5 linked regions of the Coturnix japonica genome follow. The protein of the gene in region 5 interacts with the protein of the main gene of each other region in a pairwise test. Links are inferred from orthologs where the notes say so. Each region holds a gene or a part of one and is shown on either strand. Other genes may lie near its edges.

What was found. The genes of interacting proteins can lie anywhere in the genome.
Region 1: the proteins of HSPB1 (region 5) and WDR83 interact in binary tests that used the Homo sapiens proteins (3 or more experiments, as listed by UniProt). The link is inferred for Coturnix japonica from reciprocal best matches to the Homo sapiens genes HSPB1 and WDR83.
Region 2: the proteins of HSPB1 (region 5) and PPM1A interact in a two-hybrid assay, tested with the Homo sapiens proteins (2 studies listed by BioGRID and IntAct). The link is inferred for Coturnix japonica from reciprocal best matches to the Homo sapiens genes HSPB1 and PPM1A.
Region 3: the proteins of HSPB1 (region 5) and NVL interact in binary tests that used the Homo sapiens proteins (3 or more experiments, as listed by UniProt). The link is inferred for Coturnix japonica from reciprocal best matches to the Homo sapiens genes HSPB1 and NVL.
Region 4: the proteins of HSPB1 (region 5) and FXR1 interact in a two-hybrid assay, tested with the Homo sapiens proteins (2 studies listed by BioGRID and IntAct). The link is inferred for Coturnix japonica from reciprocal best matches to the Homo sapiens genes HSPB1 and FXR1.

What each region holds. Positions count from the first base shown.
Region 1 is NW_015439889.1:96,215-100,320, forward strand, and holds WDR83 (WD repeat domain-containing protein 83), read right to left. Parts: upstream 2,801-4,106; 5' UTR 2,717-2,800; intron 2,314-2,716; coding exon of another isoform or gene 2,208-2,313; intron 2,111-2,207; coding exon of another isoform or gene 2,076-2,110; exon of another isoform or gene 2,002-2,075; intron 1,933-2,001; 5' UTR 1,931-1,932; coding exon 1,828-1,930; intron 1,683-1,827; coding exon 1,562-1,682; intron 1,465-1,561; coding exon 1,359-1,464; intron 1,273-1,358; coding exon 1,224-1,272; intron 1,134-1,223; coding exon 1,007-1,133; intron 925-1,006; coding exon 857-924; intron 789-856; coding exon 680-788; intron 606-679; coding exon 491-605; intron 389-490; coding exon 239-388; 3' UTR 178-238; downstream 1-177. Other genes in the region: WDR83OS (protein Asterix), read left to right, coding at 2,076-2,110, 2,208-2,313, 2,801-2,898, 2,992-3,058; MAN2B1 (lysosomal alpha-mannosidase), read left to right, coding at 3,947-4,039. UniProt on the Homo sapiens protein: Molecular scaffold protein for various multimeric protein complexes. Acts as a module in the assembly of a multicomponent scaffold for the ERK pathway, linking ERK responses to specific agonists.
Region 2 is NC_029520.1:49,583,001-49,587,293, forward strand, and holds the start of PPM1A (protein phosphatase 1A), read right to left. Parts: upstream 2,801-4,293; 5' UTR 2,445-2,800; intron 1-2,444. UniProt on the Homo sapiens protein: Enzyme with a broad specificity. Negatively regulates TGF-beta signaling through dephosphorylating SMAD2 and SMAD3, resulting in their dissociation from SMAD4, nuclear export of the SMADs and termination of the TGF-beta-mediated signaling.
Region 3 is NC_029518.1:15,291,264-15,295,266, reverse strand, and holds the start of NVL (nuclear valosin-containing protein-like), read right to left. Parts: upstream 2,801-4,003; 5' UTR 2,783-2,800; coding exon of another isoform or gene 2,764-2,782; coding exon 2,536-2,763; intron 2,328-2,535; coding exon 2,254-2,327; intron 1,378-2,253; coding exon 1,325-1,377; intron 1,238-1,324; coding exon 1,138-1,237; intron 314-1,137; coding exon 259-313; intron 1-258. Other genes in the region: CNIH4 (protein cornichon homolog 4), read left to right, coding at 2,714-2,782, 3,532-3,600. UniProt on the Homo sapiens protein: Participates in the assembly of the telomerase holoenzyme and effecting of telomerase activity via its interaction with TERT. Involved in both early and late stages of the pre-rRNA processing pathways.
Region 4 is NC_029524.1:15,057,229-15,061,335, reverse strand, and holds the start of FXR1 (fragile X mental retardation syndrome-related protein 1), read left to right. Parts: upstream 1-1,307; 5' UTR 1,308-1,387; coding exon 1,388-1,438; intron 1,439-4,107. UniProt on the Homo sapiens protein: mRNA-binding protein that acts as a regulator of mRNAs translation and/or stability, and which is required for various processes, such as neurogenesis, muscle development and spermatogenesis.
Region 5 is NC_029534.1:3,162,856-3,166,834, forward strand, and holds HSPB1 (heat shock protein beta-1), read right to left. Parts: upstream 2,497-3,979; 5' UTR 2,317-2,496; coding exon 1,956-2,316; intron 1,024-1,955; coding exon 960-1,023; intron 823-959; coding exon 663-822; 3' UTR 501-662; downstream 1-500. UniProt on the Homo sapiens protein: Small heat shock protein which functions as a molecular chaperone probably maintaining denatured proteins in a folding-competent state. Plays a role in stress resistance and actin organization.

The sequences.
Region 1 (4,106 bases), on a different chromosome or scaffold from region 5:
GGAAACATGCCCCAGGGGGGGCTGAGCCCACAGCTGGGGGGGTCAGATCCCTCACTCTGGGGAGCTGAGCCTGCCCTGGGGCGAGCAGGGCCCTGGTATTGTCCCTCCATCCCCACACCCCATCCTTCCACCCCTGCACTTCTATTTATTTTGGCATCAATAAAGCGCTGCAGCGTCTCCACACTGTGGGGTTTATTTCTGAAGGTTCTGGGGGGCACAAAGGGGCCCCCTCGGGCTGTCACGTGGTGGTGGTGTCCCCCTCAAAGCCGTCCTCACGCCACAGCTGCACACAGCCTTTGTTGGCAGCCAGCAGGCAGGGCAGGGTGGGGTGGAAGGCAATGGACTGTACCACCCCATGCCCCACGGGCAATGTCAGTGCCAGGGAGCCCTGTTGGGAAGGAGGGGGTGAGAAGGAAAATATGTGAGATGGGAGGCAAGGGGGGGCGGGGGGGGGGGGGGGGGGGGGGAGGTGTGTGTGGGAGGGGCTGACCTCCACCAGGTCCCAGAAGTAAACGTTGCCATCCTCAGAGGCGCTGCCCACGTGTGTGTCCTGCTCACTCATCACGCAGTCCAGGCGGTACGATGAGCTGCGGTGCCCGGTGTACCTGTGGGGGGGGACATCAGTGACCCCAACCCCTTCTTTAACCCCCCACCCCTTCTGTAGCCCCCCAGCTCTCACTCGCCCAGCATCTCGCCCGTCTCCTTGTCTAGCAGGCGCAGTGTGGAGTCCAGGCTGGCAGCCAACGCGCATTGCCCATCCTTGCTGAAGCAGACACAGGTGATGGGGCCTGGAAGGAGAGAGGGGAATTTAGGTGTCCCTCCCCATCTCCCTGCAGTCGGTCTCCTCATCACTCACTCCCCACGTAGTCAGAGTAGAGCTGCCCCGCACGCAGGTCGTAGCGTCGCACGCGGCCATCCACAGACCTGTGATTTGGATGGGAGAGGATTTATAGCACCGGGGGGGGGGGGTTCCATCCCCATCCCTGTGGTTTCTGCCCCCCCTCACCCCGTCAGGATTTCGTGGGCTGACAGCTTCAGGCTGGAGATGCCGTCCTTGGCCTCATCCAACACCTGCACGGGGTCAGGGCGGCGTGAGCGGGAGTCCCAGCAGCGCACCGTGGAGTCGATAGAGCCTGAAGGGGTGCGTGAGTGAGGGGGGGTCAGATCACTACCCCTGTGGGGGGGGGGTCGGGACGGGGGGGACAGCAGTGGTCTCTCCTCACCAGACACGATGATGGTGGCCTCCTCATTGAACTGCACACAGTTGACTTTCTGCAGGGAGGACACAGGGTGGGGGGTGCTGTGTGTTCCCGTCCCGCTGCTCCCCTGCTCCACTCCTGCCCCCCCTCCACACTCACCCCCGCGTGCCCGCGGTACTTGCGAACCACTTGTCCACTGGCCACATCCCAGAGCACCACGGTCTTATCGGAGCCACAGGAGCAGATCTGGCTGTTATCAAAGGACCTGGGGAGGCACACACACCCCCACACCCCCCCACACACCCCGTCAGGCTCCGGTGCGGCTCCGTGCAGAGCGGGGGGGCCCCGTTCCCCAGCGTTACCCGGCGGCGTCCAGCACCTCGTAGCCGTGTCCCTGGTAGCTGCGCAGCGCGGTGCCCTTGTGCGGGTTCCACAGCTTCAGCGTCTTGTCGCTGCCGCACGTCAGGCAGTAATTGCCGTCCGCTGATGGCGGACACACCGACAAGGGCCGAGTGAGGGGGGGGCCGTGGGGGGGGGGGCTGTGGGAGGGGGGGGGGCCGCCCACGCCCACCCGCCGCGATGTGAGCTGCCCCCCCCGTGTCGCTCCCGGCCCCGTGTCCGCTCTCACCGTTGAAGCGCACGGCTCGCACCGCTCCTTGCCCGCACTCCATGGTCCGCACGTGCTTCCGGGGGAGCTCGGGCCGGGCCGGCCGGGGCTGCGGGAACGCCATGGCTGCACCGGAACGGAACGGAACGGAACGGAACGGAACGGAACGGAACGGAACGAACAGCTCAGGAGGCGGAAGGTGGAGGCCGGACACTTCCGGCGAGAACACCGGAAGTTTACCGGCGCACTCGTAGCGCTGAACAGCCGCAATGGTCGATCCACGGCGGCCCGCGCGGGTCACGCGGTGAGTGGGGGGGGGGAACCGGGGGCTGTTCGGGTCCGGGTTCGGTTCCGGGTACCGGGTACCGGGTCCCCTCCCCCGCTCACGGCCCCGCCCGCAGGTACAAACCGCCCAGCACCGAGAGCAACCCGGCACTGGAGGATCCCACACCGGACTACATGAACCTGCTGGGGATGGTGTTCAGCATGTGCGGGCTGATGCTCAAGGTACGGGAACGGGAACGGGAACGGGCTGGGGGGGGAATGGACCGGGAATGAACCGGGAAGGAACCGGGAAGGAATTACCGGAGCCTGGAGTGAGGCTTCATAAGGAGGGAGCTGGTGAGATGGGAGGAGAGTGGGAAGAATCGGAACCAGCACCGGGACCGGGGAAGAGACGGCACCAGAACCGGGTCAGTGGGAGACTTGAGAGCTGGGAGGGGTAAAACAGTAACGGGACGAACCGGGGGGATCCAGCAGGGCCAGGATTAGACTCAGAATGAACTGCTGGGAGCAGCACTGCACAGAACGGCCCATAAGAACCAAAACTGGGCCAGGGAGGAGTTACCCAGATCACAGTGGGACGGTGCTGGGACCAGGACCAGGCTGAGGGGGCACCATAAAGACCCACCAGGACTGGTGTCAGTGTGGGGGCATCCTGACACCAGCTGGGGTGTGTTGGGGTTCCCATGAGCGTCCCTTCCTGGTGCTGCAGCTGAAGTGGTGCGCGTGGATCGCTGTCTACTGCTCCTTCATCAGCTTTGCCAACTCCCGCAGCTCCGAGGACACGAAGCAGATGATGAGCAGCTTCATGTGAGCAATGGGGACGGGGGGGGGATGGGGGACGGGGGCTGCTTTTACCCTCTGACGCTGCTTTTACCCCCTGACGCTGCTTTCCCCCCTCAGGCTCTCCATCTCTGCCGTGGTGATGTCGTACCTGCAGAACCCGCAGCCCATGTCCCCGCCGTGGTGACAGAACAGCTCCTGGTCTGGGGCTGTGCAATTAAAGGGGGGGCTGTAAATTAAGGGGGGCTGTGCAAATAACAGGGGGCTGGTACAACGTTAAAGGGGGTCTGTACAATTAAACGGGGCTGTACAATTAAAGGGGGGGCTGTACAAATAAGGGGGCTGTGCAATTAAAAGGGGGGCTGTTCAAATTAAAGGGGCTGTACAAATTAAAGGGGCTGTACAAATAAAGGGGGCTGTACAATTAAGGGGGCTGTACAAATAAAGGGGGCTGTACAATTAAAGGGGGGCTGTGCAAATAAAGGGGGGTCTGTACAATTAAAGGGGGGGGCTGTACAATTAAAGGGGGGGTGTACAAATATAAGGGGGGCTGTACAATTAAAGGGGGCTGTACAATTAAAGGGGGGCTGTGCAATTAAAGGGGGGCTGTGCAATTAAAGGGGGGCTGTGGCTGTGAGCTGCTGTTGTTCTGGACTCACGGACCTGCCAGGGCCCAGCCCCAGTGCAGAGGGAACGCTGCTGTTCTGGGGGCTCAGGGGACCTAAAAGAGGGAATGTGCGGAGCTGGAGGACACCGGGCACAAAGGAGGAGATGCAGGTCTGGGCCAATGGCGGGGACGGGTGAACCGGGAGGGGACGCGTTCCCCACCTGGAAGCTACTCGACGCTCCATTGGAGGAGAGCGCTGTCAGTCTGGCTCTGCCAATCACGTGCCGCCGGGGGCGGGATTTAGGGAACCGTTGGTAACGGAAAAGCGGCGAGTGTCACTCTAACGTCGCCTACAGCCAATCAGAGCGGGGCGCGGTGCCGCGGCGGCCGCCCATTGGCTCCCGCTTGACGGGTGGGCGGGGCGAAGCGAAGTCCTCCACCCCCCTGGTCTCGTGATCAAACGGTCATATGACCGCGCGCTCGAACGACATGGCGGCGCTCCGGGCCGCGCTGCTGCTGCTGCTGTGCGGGGCGGCGGCGGCCGCGGGCTGCGGGTACCAGGTAACGGGGGGGACGGGGGGGAGCGCCGGGGTGGGAGGGGGGCACTGAGGTGGAAATGGGGTGTCAC
Region 2 (4,293 bases), on a different chromosome or scaffold from region 5:
GATCGAGGAAAGGAGTGAGACATGGTTTAAGAGAAAGGAGGAGCAACAGTCGCAATAGCACAGTATGCAATAGCAGCAAGGCACGTTGCATAGCTCAGGTGTAGCTCTGCTAAGCTGCTGTTGTCTTGACTTCAAACAATATTATTCAAGCCTTATTAAAATGAGTTGCAGGTCTGCAGAGACAAAACAAATCTAGTTATTTTGCAGAACTTCCCATTCCAAAATTTGCTTGTTTGTAAATAACTTGTAATTATGTAAATGCACTTTGACATTAGCACTGGCTAATGTTTCTACATGAGCATCAGAGCATGTAATGACAAAACCAATATCAAAGTCGATATTTTAGTATGAAATGTGCTATTCTTAAATTACCTACATTTAGGTCATTAAGTGAAAGTAGTTCCTTTAAATTCCTAGTTCCACTCTAAAGGGACAAGTGCAATCAGATCTCATATTGACAGCTGCATTCAAAACCATACCAGTTACATAAGTTTGCAAATCACACTGTGCCAAAGTACCTAAGCTTTTTAACGACAGTTCTTCAAACGCTCTCTCAGCACGAGTGACTCAACTTCACCATATAAAACGCGCTCCAGATAAGAAGCAACCAGCTTGGTTTTATAGAAAAGGCTTTTTTTGTCTTCTGCTTTAATTCAAATTGCACCAAGTGAGCTCGGCTTGTTTAGACCTGCAAGCTTTGCCATTCCTTTGGCACTTCCATCTCTCCTCCTTGTTTCCAAAGTCTCTCAAGCTTAATTCCAGACAGCTAAGGAAGCACTTGGAAAACAGGTAGAGTTTTCTACTGCACCTCAATGAGAAACGTTTACCAGAAGACAACTAAAGGACTAAACGTATTGGCCAGAGCTAAGCTGTGCCTACCCTCTAGCAAAACACCCTTCCATCTGAAGACAGCGAGAGCACAGACCAGATGTCTCCAGTACAAACTACAGTTAGCAGAGGGTTTCATCAGATAAATGTGACTGTGAGGAAATTAGTAATTGGCATAATGCATCAGCAAGACTTTTACTTTTAGAGCAGCCCCATGTACAAAACGCACGCCCAGGAAGACAGGCCTGGAGGGAAAAGGTCTGAGAGCAGCTCTCCCTGCCCTGGTGAGAGATGGCTGGTACACCTAGCACAGCTATTCTTCTTCACTATCTCTCCTTTGATCACACAGGGAAGGAGTACAACTTCCTTGACCCATGTTTTCCTCCACCCCTTCCCTGTCTCTGATCTTATTCATAGAAAACCTAGGAATAGTATCAAAAGAAAAGCTGTCGGAGAAGAAACGTGGGTAGAACTTGCACAATTAATGCCTGTTAATTTGGCAATTCACACAGGGTCGTGAGCACAGCAGTTACCTTTAATTTCATGGGGGGCTTCATGAATCCTTCAGCAGCCACCTGGGCACTGAAGCAGTACGTGTAGAGAATAAGCAAAAGGTCACACTGATCCTATCTGCAAAGTAAGTTCCTAGAATCACAAGGGTTAGAACTTCTCTGCTTCACAAGATGATTCTACTTACTCTGTCATTATCCATCATGATCTATGGAAAATCGCCTACCACCAAAGAGGACAGAGCTAAAGCCTGTTGCTCACAGGATTTCATTTAAGACTGCCATCTGCTTCAAAGGAGGAAAATAATTCTTCAGCGTGACACACGCAGCCTTATGGTGACCACACAACCACCATTTCCTCATCTGACAAAAGGTACGGCGCAAAACTAAGTTCCTCACGAGCACTAGGTGGTTTTGCAACAGCAGGATTTTGCCATACCCGTGGCACGGCACTGAAACATTTCAACGTGCGCAAAACAAACACGCAGATATCTACGAGATGCCTACGAAATAGGTTCTGAAACGACGACCCAGCCCTGTGCCTTCCTCAGTCCAAGGCAAGGCCGGAGGCTGGATGTAGCTCTGGAGCGGAGCTTCGTAGCACCGCACAACTTTCAGCTGCGAAGGCTCCATCTCCGCAGCCACACCGCAACCTTTGCTCACACGACGTCGCTTCCAAAGGCGGTGAAATAAACCTCCTTCAAAGTTTAAAACGCCCTAAAGGCGCCGCCGAGGGGAACCCACCCGCCGCATCACGGCAGCGCTCGGGGAGCGCCCGATGCTCCGACCCTCGCTGTAGGGTGGGGTGCTTTATAAATAGATGCGTGCTTTTTTTTTCCCCCCTCTCTCTATTCCCCTCCCAGCGCCGTGCCTCAAGCATTTGGGTGGCGATGGGAGAGGAGGAGGCTGTTTATAGCCATTATTAAATGAACTCTGAAGCGGCCCAGGGAGGGGGGAGGAGAGGAGAGGGCAGCGCGCTGCTACCTGCGCCAGGCCGCCGCCTGCGCCCCAAGCCCAGCGCCCAGCCGCACTCAGGGCCCCTCAGGTCGCCCCCCCACCCGGGATGGCGCCTCACCGCCCCCCTCAGCCCGGCCCCGCACCACTTACCCCCTCCGGGCCGCGGCGGGGACGGCACCGGCTGCGGCGGCGAGGCACGGCCGCGCTCCCGGCGGTGTGTCGGGAGGGGAAGGGGGGGAGAGCAGGGGAGGAGGAGGAGGATGAGGAAGGGGGGGGCGGCCTCGCCTCAGTTCATTCACAGGCGGCGGCTGCCGAGGGCGGCTCGCTGCCCACGGGGAGCCCAGCGCTCATCTCGCCTCCCGCTCCGCTCCGCTCGGCCGCCGCCGACCCCCCCCCTCCTTGTCCCCGCTCCCCTCCCGAGCTCCGCGCCCACCCGCGCAGCGCCAACGAGCGTCTCCCCGCCGCGCTCGCGCACGCACTGCACAGCCACCGCCACCGCCTCCTCCTCGTCGCTTCTGCGCATGCGCCGAAAGAGCGGCGGGGAGGGGAGGGGGAGGCGGGAGCGCGCTCGTAGTACCCGGATGTTGGGGCTGCGAAGGTGGGGGCGGGGAGGTATTACATCACCCTGAGAGAGCGAACCGCGCATGCGCCGGGCGGGAGCTCGGGGGAGGTGACGTCATCTGAGCGCCGCCCCCAGCGCTGAGGGGAGAGATGTGGGCAGGGGGCTGAGGGGGGTCGGGTCATTCCTACACCTCACCCTGATGGTCATGGTGTGTGGATGCAGCCCAGGATACAGTTGGTTTTCTGTGCTGTGGGGACACACTGTTGGCTCATATGGTCCTTTTCTATGGGGCTGTGCTCTGCCCTCTCACCCCAAAAAGGAATGGTTGAAGTAGGTACTTAGTTAAAGAATCAGGAAGGTTGTTGAGGTGGTTTCTGTATTTGACAATAATACGGAGCTGTATGTGAAGGTTTCCCGTTGGAAAAGTGCTGGTTGTGCTTCTGCTGCCATTCCTGTAATGATCGGCACGGCTTTAATCTACATGTGCCAGCAGCAGGAGGCAGTTAATGGTGGATTAATTGAGGATTCTTGTACAGGCAAGGCCTATAGAAGCAGAGATGTAGAGGGCAAGGAAAGCTGAAATTAATGTAACAAAACTGCATGGTTGCAATGCTTCTCCAAAGGATGGAGTTACTGCGTTTCAGCATGACTTCAAAATCTGCAGTCCCCATTGCTGACTGGAGTGGAATGGTATGTTCAGACTCAGTCCTACAGTATTCGTTCTAGTCATGTTAGTGTGAGCATGAACAACACTCAGTAGCACTTGGTATTAACTCTTTCACTCCCTTAAGTTGCAGTGAAATACAATTGTTTTGTTTGGAGTAGGATTTGGATCAATAATCATCTAAATATCAAACATATTGGTGAACTAATGTCCAGGCTGCCTTGAATCAGTGGTGGAAATCAGGCACATACAGATAATCATTCCTTTCATGCTTACAATGGTGTCTAAAGCAGCTTGGTCAGTTTCCCTGCTGAAGGTGACTTTTCTCTCCTGCAGTTTCTCTGGATGTAGATGAAGGTGAGATGACAGCCCTGACAAGATTCTTAAATTTTCTGATGGCTCAAATTAATTATTTAGAGCTTGTCTAACGTAAATCTTTATACTCGTGTAAAGCTTGTAATAATCTTGAACTTGCCAGACACTTACGCTTGGCCCTACCTCATCACTTCTCCAGTGGGCTCTGCCTATTTTTAGAATGTAAAAGCCAGCAGGATGACTGTGCTGCAGGCTTTGCGTCTTCTTAGTACTGTTACTGCAACACCCTGGTGTAATGATGTCTGTAGGTACCTGCTGAGGCAGCTGTGCCATTGGGAACTCCATAAAATGCCAGTGCTGTAGCTATGATTAATAGTCACACGATGTTTAAGTCATCAAATGCACACACCATCCTATATCCAAACTGGATGTATCTGAAAGATGTCACAAAGACTATG
Region 3 (4,003 bases), on a different chromosome or scaffold from region 5:
AACCCATTAGTTTGCTGACAGTTATCATTTCAGTAATAGTCAGCTGTGTCAGTTCCGTCAATCACTTCAATCATTCGATGGCCAACTCTTCTGGGCCTCCATCGTGCTTTCTTAAAGAGTGCTTCCCCACCACAGCTTTTTCCTTTACTGTTGGAAATTAGCCACTTTTAAGCTCTATTTTTAATCTTTCACTGCCACTTTACAAAACACAATCACATGTTACATAAATACAAGCAATCATAATTTAATACAACTTACTAAATCTTCCGGATAATCATCATCCTCTGAATCCTCTGTGGAACTTCCTGTAGTCCTTTACATGGTAAGAAGACAAAAACGTAATGTATCAGAGAAAAACTGAAAAAGAGACACGTGCAAAACAGAACAAATGCAATTTTCAGAACATCGTTCCCTGCAATTAAGAAACACAGGAAAAGAGTGGAAACAAACTGTATTTTAAATTTACTACTGGGAAAAGTCTAAAAACACGTTCTTTCCATTGCTGCAATGAGCTGGATCAACCCAGTATCCTGGCTGAAAGACAGTCCTACAGATAGGCAGGGATGTGGCACCAATGTGATCCAGTTCACCATGAAACCTCACAATCACCAAGGCTAGCACAAGGGAAGCTACTGTAAGTCACTGCTGAATTATATTAGTCCTTCTGATCACAATGTCTTAATTGCTCTTAAGATCCTTGATGTTTATCACAGGTTGGAAAACACAACCTTCCATGAGACCACGCATAAATTTAGGAGTTAGGAATCTTAATGCCAGCCTTAATGCTAGTGGTGGTTTACTCAGAATAGCTTCTCCTGTAGCCTTCTCCCACAGATTTCGATAATATATATAACACTCATTAAAGATTAAGAACAAAACAAAACAAAGGAACTTAACCACATAGAAAACTATCAGGAAGCCTTAAGGATTATCTAGTAATTCAGGGCCATACATTTACTACAGCAGAGAAATTATGATCTACTCTTTAACATATGCATGGAAGACAAGCCTAGAGGAATTTAAGGACTGATCTATAACCTGTGAACTACCAAACCTTAATAATAGAGACAAAAAGCTTTAAAGTGCTAAATATTAAGGGCAGTGCTACAGTTATCAAATGGTAAAAATTCTTCTTACTCATTTCTCTTGTGTTCATGCCTTGCTCTTTTTGCCAAATGTTCAGCTTCTAAAGCTGTTAAATCTTCTTTTTTCTTTTCATTGCTGATTATTCCAAACACTGAAGGAAAAGTTTAAATACGTTAACAGAACAGCCAAAGTATAACCAAAAACTCTGGCACGGTGGACGTAACACTGACAGAACTACCTTTTGCAACTTGTATTCTGAAAGCATTTCGTTTTCTTCGTCCGTATTCAGTACTGGAAAAGAAAAACAACAACACAATGCATGACATCTTGTTGTTTTAAGTCGACAGCCAAACTTTTACACAACTTCTTATTAAGAACCAACCTGAACTCACAATTATTTTTTCTTAAGCCCAGAACAGGACAACCACTGGGATGAAAAGAACACTGGGATATCTTGGTCTCTAAGTGGATCTTTAGTAAAAATTACTTAACCTTCTTTAGCTATAGAGAGACAGAATATACAGGTGAGCACGATGGATTTTATATCACAGTAACACTAGTGGCCCTGGCCCTTGTAGGGCCCTGAAAGTCTCCAGGAATGTGTAACCACCAGCCCTCTGGGCAGGCTGTTCAGTGCCTTACCACCTTCAGTGTTAAAGATCCTCTTTAAGCTTGAAGCCATTTCCCCTTGTTCTATCACCCTTTCTCTAACAAGACATTAAAAAATAGATTGTGCAAACATAAATGAATATATATAATAATATCCTTCTCCACCTCCCTTTAACTCCCACATCCATCCAGGACCTGCTGGAACACAACTTTTCTCCCTACAATGCAAACAGCTGGCAAATAATTTGGTAGGACTGACTGTCCCGCTGTCCTACAGAACTCTCGCTGTCCTACAGCCTGCACCCAAGTGCTATTTTCTCTCATATTCCCAGCTCTGTATGGTGAGGATGCTGTAATGCATCTGCATCAGTAACAGATGAATTACAGAACTAACATCATGAAACAATGGAAGTTAGTTGATATATCAGCAGAGGAAAACAATGAACCTCAACAACTGACAAAGAAAGTGACTTCAGATTAGAATTCTGACAGCACACAAATACAAAACGATACGTTTTACATCCCGAGCGTGGAATACCACCACACCGACCCTCTCACCTGTAGGTTTTCTGCAGATCAGAGGCCAGGATCCCGATATCCACATAATGGCCGCACTTACTGCTCGCGAGGTACTGAAACGAGACACATCGTGAGGCCAGTCAGACCCTGATCACTCACTTCACCACAGCGGCTGCTCCGAATCTGCCTGTTTGAGGCTCAGCACCACCCTAAGGCCAGAAGGGCGGCAGGAAGCCAGAACCGACGGTACAACAAGACAAGGCCTCTCCCCTCAGCCCCCGACCCGCTCCAAGGCGCTGAGGGGAAGGGCCGCGTACGAACCTGCTTCACGCGCTGCTTCAGCCTCAGGTCCACGAAGGAGCCCGGCCGGCTCCGCATCGCCGCCACGCGTGGAACGGCCGCCCTAAAGGCAGCCGGACTCCGGTACCCGGCGAGCCGTGCGGCGGGGCGGGGCCTGCGGGGCCCGGGCGGGGCGTACGGCGGCCGGGAGGTCAGCGGGATGGAGTCGGTGGTCTTCATCTTCTCGCTTATCGACTGCTGCGCGCTCATCTTCCTCTCCGTATACTTCGTATCCTTCTGCGGTGGGGTCGGGGCCGAGCCGCGAGGGTTTGGGGTCGCGGCCGACGGAGGCTGGGCTCTGTGGGGGAGGTTTGAGAGGGGCTGCGGGAGGAGCGGGCCCGGCATTGCGGAGGGTGAGGCCCGGGAATAGGGGGATCCTGAGCGGGGCCATGAGCTCCTGGAACACACACGGGGCACAGTGGGGCTGTGGGGCTGTGGAGGGCGACCTGCAGGACGGGGTGTGTGCCCCGTTCTGCCCCTCGTGCTCCCAGGTCTTAATGCTGAAATGGTCGGGTCTCCCTCCCTGCTCTGCTTGCGGCGTCGAGCTGAACTTTGTCCAGTAGGTACCGGTGGAAAACTGCCATAAAGTCATTTAGGTTGATAGCGAAGCGCGGCCTAACCCTCTGCAGCAAGGAGGGCTGAGCGGGGCTGATGGAAACGTGCCTGGGGCAGATCTGCTGCGGGAGGGTGATGTGCACTGAGGGCACAGCGACCTGCATGGAAACGTGGGATCATAGAATATCCCGAGCTGAAAGGGACTCCTAAGCATTGCCGAGTCCAACACAGCTCCACGCGGCACCACCCAGAATCCCAGCCCTATGTCTGGGAGCAGTGTCCAAACTACCCTTGAGCCCCAGCGTGTTCAGTGTCCACCGCCCTCTGGGGCAGAACCCATTGCTGATATCCAGCTTGAACCCGTCCTTTGAGTGTCTGAGTGTTCTGACTTACGGCACAGTTGTTCCTTATCGCTAACTTCAGATAATTACACTATCAGATTTGGAATGCGACTACATTAACGCGAGATCTTGCTGTTCAAAACTCAATAAAGTAAATGACTGTTCTTTGCATTTTGTGGGGTTTAACAAAACTAGCTGTCATCTCCACATCACAAATTACAAAAGCTGGTGTATACCTGAAGAACCTGGATTGGCAATACTTTTTCAAAGCATTTATCCTTTGTTTCAGTCTGCCTGTCTTTGTCAGGTCCCCATCTGACCCAGTTTACCCTTGTCTGTTTTCATATTGGTCCACGTTCTTATACCACACCTGAAGGTGTTTGTATATCCTGTGTCTGCAGATTTTAGTTATCTGCTTCTTTCATTCCTGCATCAAGTGTTCTCTGCAGTGATTTCATATCAGCACTGCATGCTTTCTTATTTTCTTTAATGTCCGTATAATACAGATGTGATTGAACAGCTGAAGTGTTTCATTCTAGAAATCACCGTGTTAA
Region 4 (4,107 bases), on a different chromosome or scaffold from region 5:
GTTGTAACTGAGGAGATAAAAGATTCTCCCTTTTAATATTTCAGTAAATAATTAATTTAATTTAGTAGTTACTTCTAATTTACATTAAAACTCAGGCTCAGAACTTCACTGTCTCCCACCCGGATATTGTGTTTCAAACCATCATGGCCCACAACCTCTTAACAACTCCCATCTACCTCCATTTTCATGCAGCAATCTGCCTCAGTATTAGTCTGTAAATAACCCTGCCCCTGTCACTGCTGCCACGTGCGTACTTTCAGAAAAACAAATGTTATCAGGCAAATTCTGGATGCAGATTGCTTTGGCACCAGCCAGTTCTCCTTATCATTAATGACCAGAACCGTCCTCTGCACTGCACAAACGGACACCCAGCCACCTCAAACATTGTGCTGTTGGTTGGTTGTTTTCTCTATGCGTCCTGTTTGGACTCCTGGGGACAGCCCGGGCACAAGTGACAGCACAAACTGCAGGGCATTTCTAAGGATTTAAGTAGTGTTTATAATCAAAGGAACCCTGCAACATCCCTGTGGAACAACTATGATGTAATAGTGAGAATATCTGGGCACACAGGATGGGAAAAGAGTAGATAATAGAATTGCATTTTGTCTTAGCATTACCTCATACCCAAACAAAGATGGCAGCCAGAGTGGAGAAAGTGTGTTGTCCTCTGGAAGCAGCAGAGCCTGTCGGTTCATTTATTGTTGTTCTTATCCCCCAGTAATTTCTGGATCGTTTCCCTTCATGTTTCCCACAGCTCCGTGCTGCCCTAGCTGCACCCATCTCCCAAACCCAAACCACTCCGTGGCCACACGGTGGTAAACGGCAGCTCACGATGGCGGCTTAGCGGGGCCACCCAAGCCGAGCGGATTGAAGGTGTCATTATCAATATTTAAAACCACTGCAAAAAAAGATGCATTTGGCAGGCACAGCCTGCTATCCAACCCTGCATGACTAAGCTACCGCACAGCGCTGAGCTCATGGCTCAATATGGGACTGATTCTGCGGTGAGGGATACACCAGCAGCCGTTTATACGTGTATATCGATATGAGCCGCAGCTCGTTCCCAGCAGGACACGAAGCCAAACACCGCATTACTCCCGCAGCGCCCACCGCCACCCGCGCGGCACGAACCGCCACCGCCGCCATTTGCGCATCGCGGCGGCTCCAGGGCGGGGCTGCGGAGCCACCTGCGGCCCGGGGAGGCGGGAGCCACCCGCACCCCGCAGGGAACGCCCCGCTCCGGCCGATCCCGGCAGCCCCGGGCGCGCAGTGGGCGGAGCGGGAGCGGCCCCGGGGGGCGGGCGGAGGGGGAGGGGAGCCCGGGCAGCGCTCCCCCCCGTGGTGACAGTTTCTAGAAGCACGTCCCGCCGTCCTTTGCGCCCGCAACATGGAGGAGCTGACGGTGGAAGTGCGCGGCTCCAATGGGGCCTTCTACAAGGTACGGGCGCCAGGCGGGGCTGGAGCCGTGTGGGGCTCTGCGTGTTGTGCTGGGGGACGGGAGCGGGGGGCGGCCGGGAACGGAGCCTCCGAGATGGGCCGGGAAGGGGGGGGCGGCGTGGGGGTGTCGGGGTGTGGCGGTGTATGGCGGTGTATGGCGGTGTATGGCGGTGTATGGCGGTGTATGGCGGGGTATGGCGGTGTATGGCGGGGTATGGCGGGGTATCGGGCGGTGTAATGGCGGGGTATGCGGTGTATCGGCAGGGTATGGCGGTGTCTGGCGTGTGTATGGCGGGGTATCGCGGGGTATGGCGGGGTATGGGCGGGGTAATGAGCGGGGTTATGGCGTGTACTGGCGGGGTATGGCGGTGTATGGCGGGGTATGGCGGTGCTGTGAGGCGGTGAGGGGCCTTTCCGGCTGAGGGGGAAGGAGCCGCGGGGAGGGGCGGGGTTGTGTGGGGGTTGCGGTTGTGTGGGGGTTCTGCGGCTGCTGGGGGGGAAGCGGGGACCGCGGGTGGGGTTTGGGGCTGAATGGGGGGAACGGAGCCAGAAATAATGTCTTCTAGAATATCTGAAATAATTCTGTAACGATTTCGGGTTTATTTATGTCATCAGAAGGCTTCCTTCGCCATCAGCCTCCCCGGAATGCCGGGTTGGTACGGGATCCGTGCTCCGTGCCCTCAGCTGTGCCCGTCACTCATTGCCCTCAGCCCGGGGCAGTCGTTAACGCTCCGCTCTTTTTATGGCCACAGCCGCTGTTTGGTTCCCGCAGCATTGTGCTGCTCAGCCCTGCGCTCACACCGGGACCCGCCGGCGCGGGGCGGGACTGAGCGCGGCGCTGCTCGGGGCCGGGGGGCGGCCCTCACTGCCTCCCATTTTCCTGCTCGCATCTGTGGGATCGGGCCGGGAGTCGTTGGGAATCCGAGTGATTGGGGCGGGCAGGGGATTGTGAGCAGCTGAATGCAGGAGTCGGGGCCGGGTGCTTCGGGTTTTTGCTGTTTTGCAACTGGCTGTCTATTAAAAGAGACAAATAGGAGATAATCTTAGGAGGAAGGAATGTAATGAGATAAGCTCCGTGCCCTTGCTAGGTGCTTCTCTTCGTTCTTTTTGCCAAAATCCATAGATAATAAATGTTGCATATCAGATACGTTTTTAGGAGCATTACAAATAACCACGCAGAAACCCACATCAAAATCACCTGTATTTTGAACACGGCTTGCCTAAAAACAACGTTGATTATTTTTCCTGCCCATTAGGAAACATGGAATTTGGAGACACCCCTCTTAGCTTTTCCATTTGCTGCCCTATGGTCTTGGGCAAAGGATGAAGCATGTGCTGGTTCTTTCTTCTGCTTCAGGGGAATGTGGGACTAATGGGAGCATTAGGAGGTGTGCTGAATTCCTGGAGCTGTGTGTACAGCATTTATTGCAATAAGCCTGATTTAAATTCTGCAATAATGACGTCTCCTGAGTCAGTGCGAATTGTCAGGCTCGGATTAGCCCCATCATGTGTTCAGCCTTCTGGATGGTGGCAAACGAGCAGAAGTTTTGCTTCAAAATGTCATTATTTCAGACCAGCTAAATGGGGATTAGGCCCAATGTTGAAAGCCTTTTGCTTCTTGGGGAGTGGGCAGGTTAGAGTGCTTGGGCCTGTAGAAGCCCCAGCTCTAAACAGTCACTGTGGTGCACAAAATCCATCCCGAAACACAATAGACGCAAGTAGAAAAGTGATCTTAAAACACTTTTTTTTTGAAATCTGAGCGTCTGGCTCCATTTTGTGAGTCCTAGAGGTGAGGTTATGCCTGTGCTGTGGGACTGAGTAGCGCTACTAGGAACTGCTGTGTAAAGCTTGGGAAGAAAAGGAGGAAGGGGTGTCAGCCTCATGTAGAAAGTGCTCACCGAGGATTGGTGTTGACATTTGTAAGACTATAAGAGGGGATAACGTTTGAAGTTTGCGCTCAGAACAGTCTGAATTTAGATTCATTATCACAACATTCCTCCTGGTAAATGACGTGAGAGGGATCCTGCTATGCCAGCAGAGATAAAGACCAAAGGAATTATGTAAACTATTACACGATGGTTTTTCTAATTGGTTGTTAATATGGTCTGCAACTCAGCTGTAGTAACAGTAGTGATTGCATCTGTTGGAGTGGTTACTGCAGGTATGACCATGGTGGGTAAAACTGGGATTGCTATCAACTAATAAGAAAAATTATGCTCTTTATTAAAATACATGAAGAATAAGAATGTTTTTTCTTGATGCATGTATTAGTGGAAAGTAACCGTGGTTGTGGTAGACATCAAGTAAGATTCTTTTGTTCTAAAAAGAAATGGTATGTTTTAAACTGAACCTTTTGTTGTGTATCTCCAGACATGATTGCATGTTTTCTTTCCCCTTTGCTTCAAATGAATATTCCAATCCAGAGGACAGAACAGCATTTCTTTTGCATCTTACCCCAAGTTCTCCAGCATTAGACAGCAGAGCACGTTCAGCCAATCCCTGCAGCAAAGCACACTGCGTCTGTTGGTGTTACTCATCTGTTGTCTGAGCCCCATCAGTGCCATCTTTAATCTAAAGGAGTTGTGCTCTCATGGAAAGGACGAGGTTTGTGTGGTGGAACAGCTGGAGAATGGGGTGACAAACCACTTTAGTTAACAATTGCAGCTGCTA
Region 5 (3,979 bases):
CAGAGCTTTGGAGAGGAGGAATGATGAGATATTGAGACTGAAAGTGACGAGATCTGGGAGTTCAGGGACCTGGGATGGAGGAGAAATGGGATGCTGAGATCTGGGAGATGGGAGATCTGGAAATCTGGGGACTCTGGATCCTGGGAGCATGTTGGAGATCCAGTATGTTGTGACCTCAAATGGAGTAATGTAGAGTAGTGTAATGTTGAGACCCAGGACCCTGGAGACCCAAAATGTCAGATTCTCAGGACATGAAAGACCAGGACATTGACCTTGGGATGCTGGAGACCCACAGTGCTGACACCCAGGGTGTTAAAGCAGGGACATGGCCCTGTGTGCAACCAGCAGTTGGACTCAGTGGGTTTTATGGGTCCCTTCCAACACAGGATAACCCACGATTCTATAATCCTATGACTTTAGAGATCTGGCATGTCCAGATGTGGGGTGTGGGATGTGAAACTTGGCATATAGGCTGTAGGATGTGGCCAGCAGACACGGGGCAGGTTTCTTCTATCACTTTTATTCCCATCAATTTTCTCTTTTCCTCCAAGTTTATTCAAGGCACTGGGTGATGGGTGAGTACCAAGTAAAAAATACAAAGGGGGTGGGAGCTGGGGGCAGGCGTGCGGGGTGTGTGTCGGGGACAGCAGCGGGGCCTCCTCCTACTTCTTGGCTGGTTCTTCCTTCTTGGCCTCGACGGTGACAGGGATGGTGATCTCGGATGACTGGATGGCCGGCTTGGGCAGCGGGGCCTCCACTGTCAGCATCCCATCAGGGGACAGTGAGGACCGCACGGCTGTGGCTTCCACACCAGGAGGGAGACTGCGGGGAGAGGGGAGAGGTCAGAAAATCCCCTAATTTCTATGCGTCCCCCATTGGGGCCAATGACAACCCCAGTGTGTGTGTGAGATGGGGATGGGCAGGTTGGATGTCCCCACTCTCCCCACCCTGGTACTTACGTGTATTTGCGGGTGAAGCACCTGGAGATGAAGCCGTGCTCATCCTGTTTCTCCTCGTGCTTGCCTGGAAAGAGTAAAGCACAAAAGGTTAAACCCATTGGGTCTCCGCACTTGGGGTTTGCCTTTCCCTGCCCCATCAGCACTGGGTTGAGGGCAGTCCTGCTTGCCCTACATGCAGCCTTGAATGATGAGAGACACCTGGATCCCTACAGGAACACCCCTTAAATTTAAGGGTAGGAAACAGACGGTGATGGTGGACCCAACCCATCTCCAACGCCTTTGTTTCAGCTCCCCGTTGGGCAGGGCACACTGCTGGCCCTGGGCCATGGGGTCTGTGTTTCCTCACAGCATCCCTTGCTGAGCCCCCTCCCTGGCACACAGGGATGCTCAGGGTGCTGTGGGGCCTGGCTCTGCCCCATGGCGCTGACACCTCTGTCCCTATGGGGCACGCATCACATTCCTACCGTGGGCTGCATACAATAGCGGTGTGGGGCTGGGGACTGCAGCCAGCACACTGTGTACATCATGAGTCATCCCTGGAATGCACTTGTAACCCTATTCCTTCTCTGTTTGCTTATCATTTGTTATATCTTTTTTTCCCCCCCCTTTTCTCTCTTCCTTTTCCCCTTACCTTTCCTTTCCCTTTTTCCCCCTTTTCCTCTCCTCTCTTTCCCTTTCCCTTTTCCTTTCCTCTCCCATTCTTTTTCCTTTCCCTTCCTTCCCTATTTCCCTTTTTCCTTTCCCTTTCCCCTTTCTCCTCCCATTTCCTTCCTTTTCTTTCCCTTTTCTTTTCCATCCCTATTTCCCTTTTTCCTTTTCCTTCTTCCCCTTCTCCCTTTTCCCTTTCACCTTTCCCTCACTCTTTCTTTCTTTCTCCTTCCCTTTCCCACCATGCTCCATTTTCTCCTCATTCCCCCACCACAAATACATCCCCTCAACCACCCCACATCCCCCACACCCTCCCCATACCCCCATCACCCCATCTCTCAGACCCACCGGTGATCTCCACGATGTTATCCTTGGTCTTCACCACCAGCTCTTCGGGTGCAAAGTGGTTGACATCCAGGGTGACCTTCCAGCTGTCGGCGCTCTGCCTGATCTCGGAGATGCCGCTGCTCAGCTGCCGGCTCAATGCGCGGCCATAGGGCGACCCAGGGGCTGGCAGCAAGGCGCTCTCACTGGGCAGCAGACGGAAGTATCCAGGCCATGCGCTGCCGCTGGGCCACTTGTACCAGTCCTCGGGGATGTGGGGCATCCCAAAGGACTGGTCGAAGAGGCGGCTGCCATGGTACCAGTCGCGGAAGGGCTCCCAGCTGGGGCTGCTGAGGAAGGTGAAGGGCACGCGGCGCTCGGCCATGGTGTGCGGGGTTGATGGTGTGGAGCGGCTGTAGGGCCTTATGAACCCGTCCCCACGGTTATTTTTAGCCTTCAGGCGCAGCTGGCTATTAATGGAAATTGCAGCGGGGCCCGGGAAGGGACCAGAAGCTTTTCTCCAGCCCCGCGCAGCCGCAAGCCCTGCTGCCCGCCCTGCGCTGCTCCTTGGCGCTGATGGATGGGAGCTGGATGGATCCCAGCCTGCCCTCCCCTTCCCGTCAACAGCCCTCGGGATGCGCAGTGCTGGGGGGGATGAGTCAGAGCAGGAGCCCGAGCTCAGCCCTGCGCCCGCTGCGTCACTGCCAGGCCAGAAGCTTCTGGAGCCCACCAGAAATGTGGCACCCCAGGGTGAGGGGTCCTAGAGCTGGGTTTGTAGGGTTGATGGAGGATAGAGGGGCTGATAGGGGCTATAGGGCTTGGTGGGGGGGTCAGCAAGGCCCAGCGTTGCTGATGGAGGTCAGGAGGACTGATGGAGGCTGTAGGGCTTGATGGGGGTCAGTGAGGGATTACATGAATGGATGTGGACTGCTGGGGTTTAGTAGAGACCAGTAGGGATTGATGGTGCTGTGGGTGGCTGATGGGGGCAGTGGGGACTGATAGGGCTGATGCTGGTTGTTGGGACTGTTCAGGGCTGAGCTCTGGCCTTGGGCTGACTGTCCCTTCCTGCCCAGCTCCTGCAGCGTGCAGGCTTTGCTTTTAAGAGGCAGCACAGCCAGGGGATGGATGTATCTGAGCCCTGATGTGCTCAGTGCAGGGATGTGAGAGCCCTCCCTGTGGGGCGCTTGGCACAGACAGGGATACAGGAAGGATGGGAGAAGTATCTTTCATCAGGGGGAGCTCAGGGTGTCCCCCCAGCCCCAGCAGCACCTGCTGAACCCTTTGCTGGGGGCTGGGGTGGGGGGGAGCCCCATGTTGTCTGGGAAACAGGATGGAAAGGGATCAAAGCAGCCGAGCTGCAGAGCGGGGCTGCATCCTGCCAGGGGCTGGGGTGGGAGGGAGGGATGCAAAGAAACCGCTCCATGCCCCGCAGCATCATTTACAATATATACTGTATATTTTATTATAATTGAACCAGCTCACTGAATCTACAGCTGTACTCACAATCCAGAAAAAGGGAGCGCGCGAGAGAGAGGAAAATACTGAAGTATTTCTACAGAGTATTTTGTTCCAGTTGGCTCCCTCCGCGGCAGGAGACAGAGACTGTAAAAGAGGAAGACTGGAAATTTTCCCTGATGTGCTGTCCTGTCCGGGGCTCTGTCACTGTGGGAGCTGTGGCCGTGGGATGGGGATGGGGACAGGTTTGGGATGGGGGGGATTGGAATGGGGATGGAGATTGGAGTGGAGTCAGGGATTGGGATTGGGATTGGGATTGGGATTGGGATTGGGATAGGGATTGGGATTGGGATTAGGATTGGGATTGGATTGGGATTGGGATTAGGATTGGGATGGGGACTGCCCTGGAGGATGCACTGAGCATCCCCGCGCAGGGGGAGGGCAATGCAGGGTGCGTGAAGTGCTTGGCCGTGGTCAGAGCCCCACAACCCACCAGCACTAAAGGGGCATTACTGGAGTCAAAGGGATGCCCCAGTTCTGCAGTGCCCTCAGGGCAGGGACAAAGCCCTGATCCCATTGCGGCGCTGTGGGTT